Linked DNA regions of Arabidopsis thaliana. The protein of the gene in region 1 interacts with the protein of each later gene in a pairwise test. Each region holds a gene or a part of one and is shown on either strand. Other genes may lie near its edges. The genes, in order: ARF10 and IAA32.

Region 1 (5,641 bases):
TCAAACTTTTTAATATCAAAACAAGGGACGAATATTAATATAGTTCGTATGAATCCTTTATCGTTGAATGTGACTTAATTATAGAAGATAATAATAGTTCCAATTTATTAATATTGTAGCTAATATTCTCAAATAAAAATAATTGTTGTAGAGACAAAAAGAGATTCGTGTATTTTTTTAACTTATCATTTTTGAAGTTAAGATAGAAAAACATAACTGAAAACCCATGTAAAGCTGTTTTGTGACTAATCTGTTTTGCGAATCTACTTTTAAAAAAACATATTTTTCACAATCAAACACAAATGCAAAATTAGTTTTTTTGTTCTTTTTTCGGAACGACTTAAAGTTTTAAACTGGAAGCAGAAAAATTGACGTTATGCCTCACCTAAGAACAAAACTTAGGCCTTAGATGGAAATCTTTTTAATTTGGACTTTAAGAGTTATTATTCTTCGATGGTAGAAGTTTTTGGTTGAGTTATATAATTAATTTCTAATATTCTAATGAAGTTAGTAAGCTATACTTCCTTATATTACTTTTGTTTGAAGCAAAAAAAACACAAATTTGTTTTTATTATTCAACTAAAATAGACAACGTACGAGGAAAATCTAGTTTTCAAAATATAAAGAAACAGATTTTCTAGATTTTATGAAACTAATTTCTAAAGATGAGACACAAATTTTGAATTATTTCTAACTATACAGAAGGATAAATACAACAAAAACACTTACCAATCAACGTTTAAAATTGTTATGAGTAAATATAATTTGATGGTAAAATAGTTGCAGAGAAAAAAGGACCAATATACGGATGAGTTGGGTATGTCGTGTCAGGTTATAATTGGATAATATTGATCCGACAAAACAATCGACGAGTACAAAACTTCAACGAACTCACTCACACTCCAATCTCCACAATCCCTTTTTAACAGCCGCGTTTTCATCTCTCGGGTCAACCCCCTTCTCCTACTCCCACGTACGTTTTATCCCCACTTTTATGACGTCATTTTACACAACTCATAATTATTCTTTTTTTCCTTCCTAAATAATTATTTATCCGTAATTCTATTTTTTTTTTTCATCAAACATTAGCTTTGTTATTGACGAGCGGTGACATAGTCACGATGAAGAAGATCAGTAATTACATGTGGAACGAAAGCATAAAAATAAAAGAGGTTGTTCAAAGGAATATGTTGTTTTGCTAAAGTATCTGCCACCATATTCGAGCATCTCCGTAATTCTTTCAAAGTTGTGGATCATAATCCATTTTCTTTAGTTTCCTTTTTTCATTAATTGATTTTGAAATTAAAAATCTTTCTAGAAGAAATTTTTATTTTTAAAAAGTTTGACTCCAGAATTTAACTTTAAATCTAAATGAACACTTTATGAAGAAGAAAACCAATAGTCAACTAATGAATATTTTTATTTTATTTATACTTTTGTGTGAAAATTATCAAAAGAAAATTTATTGTGAAATGAGGTGAAATGAGGGAATAATATGCAACTATTTATTTTTCATTTAAATAAAAAGAAACATTTGCATGGGTTAAAAATATCATAGTTTTTACCCCAGTGTAGTACAAAAAAGGACTGTTTATTTGGCATCTAATTTCAACATCATATAATTTACCATGGGTTTAACCTATTTCTTGTTTTACCACAATCGTGTAATGGAACCCATCTTTCACTAACGGGCAAAAAAAAGAGTCAAAGTGAAAAGCAGAAAGTAAAAAAAAAAAGATAAAAAAGATTTAACCATGGTTAGGTTTGTATCTGGTCAAGCATGGTTTCTGATTTTTCGAGTAAAAAATCAAAAATTTGTTGGTACATGTCAAATTATCGCGGCTCGTGATACGATAAATTGCTAATTTTATTATTATTAGTGAAGCAACAAATGAAACAAACAAGTTAGTTGCAGTTTTTTTTAATCAAACAAAAAAACAAAATTTATTTATCTTGAAAACAATTTATTATATATTATTTATATTAAAAAAATGAAAAATAAAAAGAGTTATAAAGTTTGTGTTTGAGATAATCTCTCTGGTTTGTTTGGTTCTTGTTTCTGTATACATCATTACTAAAGAGAAAAACAAGATGTTTATTTATTACGATGGTCTTGTCCGTACCTGATTATAGCATCTCTCTCTATCTCTCTCTTCTTCTTCTACGATCTGATCAGCCATTAAAGCTTTTTCCCCCTTCACTATTATACCTCTTTTGAAGTGAAACAAAATCATAAAAGTCGAAACTTTACTGTTTCCTCTGCAAATTTAAACTCTAATCTCTCTCTCTCTCTCTATCTCTTTCACTTCGCTTTCTCTATTTCCCCTGAAACCGTTCTTGTCTCTCTCTCTCTCTCTCTCTCTCTTCTTCTCTGCTCAAGACAAGAACTTGATGTTCATGTCTTGAAACTTAACAAAGTATTGATCTTTCCTTTTAAGTAAAGAATTTGGGGGTTACACAACTTCGTCTAGATGGAGCAAGAGAAAAGCTTGGATCCACAACTATGGCATGCTTGTGCAGGATCAATGGTTCAAATCCCTTCACTGAATTCAACGGTTTTTTACTTCGCTCAAGGCCACACAGAGCACGCTCACGCGCCTCCTGATTTTCACGCGCCGCGCGTTCCACCTCTTATCCTCTGTCGTGTCGTCTCCGTGAAGTTCCTCGCCGACGCTGAAACAGACGAAGTTTTTGCTAAAATTACGCTTTTGCCACTTCCGGGAAACGACTTGGATCTAGAAAACGACGCCGTTTTGGGTCTAACTCCTCCTTCTTCTGACGGTAACGGTAACGGTAAAGAGAAACCGGCGTCTTTCGCTAAAACGTTAACGCAGTCTGACGCTAATAACGGCGGTGGTTTCTCCGTTCCACGTTATTGCGCCGAGACGATTTTCCCGCGGCTTGATTACTCGGCGGAGCCACCGGTTCAAACCGTGATTGCTAAAGACATCCACGGCGAGACTTGGAAATTCCGGCATATTTACAGAGGAACACCTCGCCGTCATCTCCTAACCACCGGTTGGAGCACTTTCGTTAACCAGAAGAAACTAATCGCCGGAGACTCAATCGTCTTCCTCCGTTCTGAATCCGGTGACCTCTGCGTCGGAATCCGCCGCGCTAAACGCGGCGGTCTCGGATCTAACGCAGGATCCGACAATCCTTACCCTGGATTCTCCGGTTTCCTCCGTGACGACGAGTCAACAACAACAACATCGAAGCTAATGATGATGAAACGCAACGGAAACAACGACGGAAACGCCGCGGCTACAGGGAGGGTTAGAGTAGAAGCAGTAGCGGAAGCGGTGGCGCGTGCAGCGTGTGGACAAGCGTTTGAGGTTGTTTATTATCCACGCGCTAGTACACCGGAGTTTTGCGTAAAAGCAGCTGATGTTAGATCAGCAATGAGGATAAGATGGTGTAGTGGTATGCGTTTTAAAATGGCGTTTGAAACAGAGGATTCTTCTAGAATCAGTTGGTTTATGGGTACTGTCTCCGCCGTTCAAGTCGCTGATCCAATTCGTTGGCCTAATTCACCATGGCGTCTCCTTCAGGTTAGTTAGTTACTCAAAGTCTCTTCCTTTTAACAGAATCCATGTTTGTTTGTTAATGTTACGGTTATATTGGTTGTTATAGGTAGCTTGGGACGAACCGGATTTGTTACAAAACGTTAAGCGGGTTAGTCCGTGGTTAGTCGAATTGGTATCGAACATGCCTACAATACATTTATCTCCATTCTCTCCGAGGAAGAAGATTAGGATTCCGCAGCCATTTGAGTTTCCATTCCACGGTACTAAATTCCCGATTTTCTCCCCGGGATTCGCCAACAATGGCGGTGGCGAGTCCATGTGTTATCTGTCAAACGACAACAATAATGCTCCTGCAGGAATACAGGGAGCCAGGCAAGCTCAACAACTCTTCGGATCACCATCTCCGTCTTTGTTGTCTGATCTCAATCTTAGTAGTTACACCGGTAACAACAAGTTACATTCTCCGGCGATGTTTCTATCGAGTTTCAACCCGAGGCATCATCATTATCAGGCTAGGGATAGTGAGAATAGTAATAACATTTCGTGTTCTTTAACTATGGGGAATCCTGCTATGGTTCAGGATAAGAAGAAGTCTGTTGGTTCGGTTAAGACTCATCAGTTCGTGTTGTTCGGTCAACCGATTTTAACCGAACAGCAAGTTATGAACCGAAAACGGTTTTTGGAAGAAGAGGCGGAAGCGGAGGAGGAGAAAGGTTTAGTGGCTCGTGGGTTAACATGGAATTATAGTTTGCAAGGACTTGAGACGGGTCATTGTAAAGTTTTCATGGAATCTGAGGATGTTGGACGCACACTCGATCTCTCGGTTATTGGCTCGTACCAAGAATTGTACCGGAAATTGGCTGAGATGTTTCATATAGAAGAGAGGTCGGATTTGTTGACTCATGTTGTGTACCGGGATGCAAATGGTGTTATCAAACGTATTGGAGACGAACCTTTCAGGTAAAAATCTCAAAAGAATTCTTTCAATTAACCGTTTGTTTGCGATTATCGTCATTTGATTGATTAACCGGTTTAAAAATGCAGTGATTTCATGAAAGCAACTAAACGGCTAACAATCAAGATGGATATTGGTGGCGACAACGTGAGAAAGTAAGTCTATCTCAAGCTCACATTTCGGGTTTGATTATATACCGATTGGAATACCGAGTTTAGTTTGCTTTTTTCGGGTTTGCATAGGACGTGGATAACCGGAATCAGGACTGGTGAAAATGGTATAGACGCTTCTACGAAGACTGGTCCGCTCAGCATCTTCGCTTGAACTTGAAGCATATTGAGGAATAAGCAGTGGCCTTTGTTTTGAACCTAATTTTATTTCTGTCTTTAATTCTCTTTTTTCCCTATTTTAAATCCTTTTTTTGCTGGTCTTTTGTGTGTAACAAACCATTCCCAAGTGTTACCAAAAGTACTCTAATTGGTATTTGAATTTATTTGTTTTGGTTGCAAGTTGTATATGATAATCAAAGAACCTGCCATATCACTTGGTAATACCTAGCAAAAGCTAAATTTGAAGAAGAGACTATTATGAGTAAAATGTGTGTATTATGGTTCACTTCTACGAATAGTATATAAAAATTGCTTACATATAATTTCACATTTTGGGTGTTGAACTATGAACTAAGTAACAAAAAGCCTATATCATTCAATTCTCTTTAATGGAAACAAATTTTCCTATTAAATTTGTTTTTGTAGCTTGTTAGCTAACTTTTTTGTAAGATAAAAGTGGAAATTATTTTGTCTTGTTAGCTAACTTTTTTTTTTGTGCTAGCTACTGTTAGCTAAATTATTGTTTCAAAAGCTTCCCTAAACTGTTGGTTATTTTTATATTATTGTTTTACATATTTCTTGTAAGAGAATATTCACCAATAAATTTCACTCACCGATACTTTAATGGAATTTTCCTGCAAGAAAATAAATAAATATTAATTGTCCATCGGATCTACATGAATTTCATAATTTGGTCTCCTCCTTCACTGCCTCCATATTTAATTAGTTCAATCAATAGCAGAGGAAGATCTATTAAATATTTGGTTTAAGATACCTTCATTTGTACTTAAAGTTAGTTGCTTTGAAAATTAACCACATACTATTTTATT
Region 2 (4,796 bases), about 12 Mb from region 1:
ATCTCTTCACCACCGCCGATGCCTGTCACAATCGCCCTTCCTGCTGCGCCTGTGACTGCAGCCACCGTCTCTAATGAGTTCCAGGCCAGGGTTTACTCAGATGACGAGAGATCCGATCACGGCGTGCAGGCTGGATACAGGAAGCCTCCGACTCCGCGATCGCAGCCGCAGAATCTACCGCCTCAGCAGGCTCATCAGCTGAAATCAAATAGCGGTGGTGGACACGAGCTGCCATCACCCAATTCCGTTTCCAGGTACTCTTTCTTCTTATATTGGAACCCTCATGAGCCTTAATTTGATGCTATAGAAGAACTAAGATTGGTCAGAACTCTGATTGTGTGTTTGCTATATAATGAATGCCTCAGTGATAGCAGTATGAGCAACCCAATGTTTCACCAAAGACCATCTGTCTATCAAGAACCAATTGCTCAGATACCTTCTGGCTCTACCGTTGTTACTGGTATGATCAATCCCTCAGATCCAAGCACACTTTTGTCACAGCATCAGAATCAGGACCCAGCCTATATCCTTCACCCCCAGTTTGAGCAACAATCTGCACAATCTCAGCCACAGCAGCAGTTCATACACACTGCTGCTCCTCCTCAATACATTCATCACCATCCGTCTAGCGGCCTTCCTGTCCCGACTTACATCCAGGTTTACCCTTCGCAACAGCCTCAACAGTCCTTCCATCAACACGCAGGTCGACTGGATCAGCAGCCTTATCCTGTTTATTATGTCACTGCTCCTGTCCCACCTAGGCCCTACAGTATGCCTGTGCCACAATCTCCAAGTGTGAGCGATGCTGCAGGGTCTATCCCCTCTAACCATCCCAACTCTACCATGATGCCTCCACCTCCTAACAACCACATGAGAAGTGTTAGCAGTGGCAAACCTGAGATGGGACAGGCTGGGGTTTACACAACAGCCCCAGGTGTGGGCGGTGCTCAGATGGTTCACCAGATTCCCACAAACCAGCAGCAATTCATGGGGTATTCGCAGATCCGTCACCCTCCTCAGTCTGGTTCAGCTGGGAATCCAAACTATGGATATGAATATGTCGACAATGCTCATACACAGATATACTACACTCAACCTATGGGACATGCACAGTACCAGACAATGACTGGGCCTCCACCTGCCATGGTGATGCCTGATGGTTCTGCTGCTGCTAAGCTTCCAGCTGAGAACATGACTCAACAGATCCGGAGTTCACAGCCATTGTGACACACACAAGGAACACATGAAGATGAACCACAAAATTTTGGAGGAAGAAAACCCCGGGTTGGTTTTTAAACGTATAAATATATAACTTTTACTTCTTTTTTCTTCTCTTCTTTTACAAGTTGCTGCATCAAAAAAAGAGTCTGGTGTCATGTTAAGTTTGGTATTATGGGTTGTGTTTAAAAGTGTTGTGTGAGTAAATTAAAAAAACAAATAAATAGTGCTTCTTGGTGGGATTTTACATTATATAGTTGCAATTGATACATGTAGTGCTTTACCATTTTCCTGGATCTTATATCATATTATTATCATTCATTTCATTTTGTAAATGTATCACTTTTTTGATCATCATCTCTCTATCTTGTTTTTTCAAGAGACTTTGAAGGCTATAATATTGTTCAGAAAGATTCTGAAATGTTATGTATAACATTTAATATTTGGAAGAATGTATGTCTGGCTTCTTGCTATCCATGGGAGCATAGGTACAGATATTAAAACATGTGTGTGGTCTTGCAAAAGTACACACAAACCCTACAACTTCTAAGAGACAAGGTGTGGGTGAAAAAGGTAGTGACAAAATCGATCTGTCTTGCAATTTAGCAACACAACTATCTCTTTTGAAAGAGATAGGCATTTGTATCTTTACCTAAACACCAAACCCAGTCCTTTTTATCTCTCTCTCTATACATGACTCAAAGATATTTTACTCTTGCACTACACTATTCTCTCATAAGCAACACAGAGCCTCACTTTGAATCGAGTTGTCAATAGTCCCAGATAATATTTCTGCAGTGTTCACAGAGTTGAGATGTGACTTTGTGCATCAGAAGCATTGGCAGACCTGGTTGGATTACAAGATCTGAACCAAATCTCTCTCTGTGGTCAGCTCCCCATCCCTTGCTTCAAACCAACTGGATCTTAATGGGTTTTTCTTGTCTTATGTCTCTTTCATGTCTGCAATTCTGTCTTTTTTTCTTTAACTCTTCTGACACTCTTTTAGCATCAGCTCATACTATAAATCTTTAGAAGTGAGCTCTCTTTTTCTCATCTCACTTTCCCTTCTCTGCATCTTTAGAAATAAAAAAGCATCAATGGACCCAAACACACCTGCAGACTTCTTCAAAGGTTCTTCCAAGTTTCATACATATTACTCACAGACCAAAAAGGGTGGTGGGGTAATCGATCTAGGCCTCAGCCTTAGGACCATACAACATGAAACTTACCTCCCACCGGCGCGAAGTGAGTTTTTTTTTTTTGCTGAATAGCCGTGCTTTCACCTCATCATTAGTTAGTTTTCTTAATCCTCAACTTGCTACCTTCAATATCTATATGTGAATCAAAGTGATAGGTCTCGACGGGTATGGAGAGCTCATAGACTGGTCGCAGCCCAGCTATAACAGCATTACACAGTTGAAGAGTGAGGACACTGGACACCAAAGACTTGCCCAAGGATATTACAATAATGAAGGAGAGAGCAGAGGAAAATATGCTTACGTAAAGGTAAATCTGGATGGCCTAGTGGTAGGGCGCAAGGTTTGCCTTGTTGATCAAGGAGCTTACGCAACTCTTGCTCTTCAGCTCAATGATATGTTTGGTAAGCCGTGTTCTGACCCCCAAGCTTCCAGCTACAAGTATGTTTCAGAAGGTTTTGCCACATTAATTCGAATCTGCAGGGATGCAGACCGTGTCGGGATTGAGGTTGTTCCAGACTGAGTCTGAGTTCTCTTTGGTCTACAGAGACAGAGAAGGCATTTGGAGGAATGTTGGGGATGTTCCATGGAAGTAAGCTCTTACATTTTCTCTATACAAAAACTAAGCATTTTAAGTTAACCACTTTGTAATTTGTCTGAAACCTGTAGGGAGTTTGTCGAAAGCGTGGATCGGATGCGAATCGCAAGAAGAAACGATGCTCTTCTTCCCTTTTAAGCTTTTAAGTCCAAGCTTCTTCTGGGGCGTTCACTGATTATCTAAGATCCAAATTAGCTCACTTGTGGTTCTATTGTTCAATATCTGATGTAATGGAAGCTTTAAGCTATAAATACGATTATGAAGAGAGGGACATCTTAATAACCAACCACCAACAAGACTGGGACAAATAAAAGAACAAAATAAAACAAAACAAACGGTAACCACATTAGTGTCATCAGGCTTATGCTTCAAAATACATTGCAGCTTCAAATTTCAAAACAAGCTTTATGTGCAATCTCTAGATGTCTCAATCGCCGGCCACGGGTAATCTGTCGAGCGTATCAGAAACGTGCCTCATGGTAGGCCTTTTCTCTGGACTGCTATTCACGCAACTGATTGCAATCTTAAGAACAGCAACAATCTCGTCTTCCGTCTCTGCCTCAGGAGCCAAACAAGGATCAAGAACATCACACAATGGTTTCTTCTCCTCAATGCATACCTGTACCCACCGCACTAGATCCATTTCCGATGTCCCCACCTCCACTGCGGGAGACCTACCCGCTATCAATTCCAGTAAAATGATCCCATAAGAGTAAACATCCCACTTCTGTGAAGGTTTTACCATCTTGAGAGTCTCAGGTGCTTGATAGTAGGATCCAGAAGAAGAGTGAGCAGTGAACTCCGAAGATACGCTCTTGTGATGGTGTTGTTGCCTCTCTTGCGGCTGTTGATCCGTTTGGATGATTCTGTTAGACTGTATGGTCGGAGAAGATCCTCCAGCGATGTTAGCTAACCGTGCTAGTCCAAAATCTGAGATCTTAGGTTCCATGTCCTGTCCAATGAGAATGTTGCTTGGCTTGAGATCTCCATGGACGTATTTCTTGGGACTAAACTCATGCAGATAAACAAGCCCTGTAGCAATCCCTTTCATTATCCTCAACCGTTCAGACCATGTCAACGGAGCGATGGTCATCATCCCCGGCTTTCCTGCACATACACACACACACATTTACGATGATGTAACTGAATAATGCATCTTGAAATGAGAAAAGAGTGACTCACCGTGGAGGGCGGTTGCGAGGTTACCGTTGGAAACATAGTCGTAGATGAGAAGCTTTTCATCGACAGACCAATAATAAGCTCGAAGACTAGCAATGTTAGGATGTTTTAGTTTCCCTATGGCTTCAACTTCTGTCTGAAACTCCTTGAATCTCTGAGACCCTCCTTCACCCAATCTCCGTACGGCCAGTGTGAGCCCGTTCTCTAGAACCACTTTGTAGACAATTCCGATTCCGCTCTTCCCCAGAACGAAAGCTGACGCCTTTAGCAGCTCCTCCAGGTTAAACGCAACCTGAGCGTCGAGGGGAACAATGTCGCAATGCTCCACGTTTTCAGATGGCGTTTCGGATTCGTCTTTACGGAAACACAGACACTCAGAAGCCCTTTTCTTGGATTCTTTCTCGACTCCGAATTGGTTCTCGCGGTTACAAGCGCAGAACTTTGAGTAGCAGTAAGTGAAAAGCAAACCCACAAGGCAGATACCAAACACGTCGCAGAGAACAATGGCAATGACGGCGCTTTTGCTCAAACCACTTGATTTCTGTTTGGTTTCAGAGTTAGTACTATCAGAATCCTCAGGTGGGTTGTTGCTTGGGATAAAAGGG

The links.
Region 2: the proteins of ARF10 (region 1) and IAA32 interact in a two-hybrid assay, tested with the Arabidopsis thaliana proteins (2 studies listed by BioGRID).

What each region holds. Positions count from the first base shown.
Region 1 is NC_003071.7:12,111,860-12,117,500, forward strand, and holds ARF10 (auxin response factor 10), read left to right. Parts: upstream 1-2,029; 5' UTR 2,030-2,471; coding exon 2,472-3,551; intron 3,552-3,633; coding exon 3,634-4,487; intron 4,488-4,571; coding exon 4,572-4,637; coding exon of another isoform or gene 4,638-4,641; exon of another isoform or gene 4,642-4,724; coding exon 4,725-4,806; 3' UTR 4,807-5,083; downstream 5,084-5,641. UniProt on the Arabidopsis thaliana protein: Auxin response factors (ARFs) are transcriptional factors that bind specifically to the DNA sequence 5'-TGTCTC-3' found in the auxin-responsive promoter elements (AuxREs). Could act as transcriptional activator or repressor.
Region 2 is NC_003071.7:116,070-120,865, forward strand, and holds IAA32 (indole-3-acetic acid inducible 32), read left to right. Parts: upstream 1-1,948; 5' UTR 1,949-2,105; exon of another isoform or gene 2,106-2,299; 5' UTR 2,300-2,315; coding exon 2,316-2,463; intron 2,464-2,566; coding exon 2,567-2,818; intron 2,819-2,897; coding exon 2,898-3,006; intron 3,007-3,083; coding exon 3,084-3,150; 3' UTR 3,151-3,439; downstream 3,440-4,796. Other genes in the region: PDE331 (Octicosapeptide/Phox/Bem1p family protein), read left to right, coding at 1-254, 366-1,227; AT2G01210 (Leucine-rich repeat protein kinase family protein), read right to left, coding at 3,440-4,119, 4,195-4,796. UniProt on the Arabidopsis thaliana protein: Aux/IAA proteins are short-lived transcriptional factors that function as repressors of early auxin response genes at low auxin concentrations.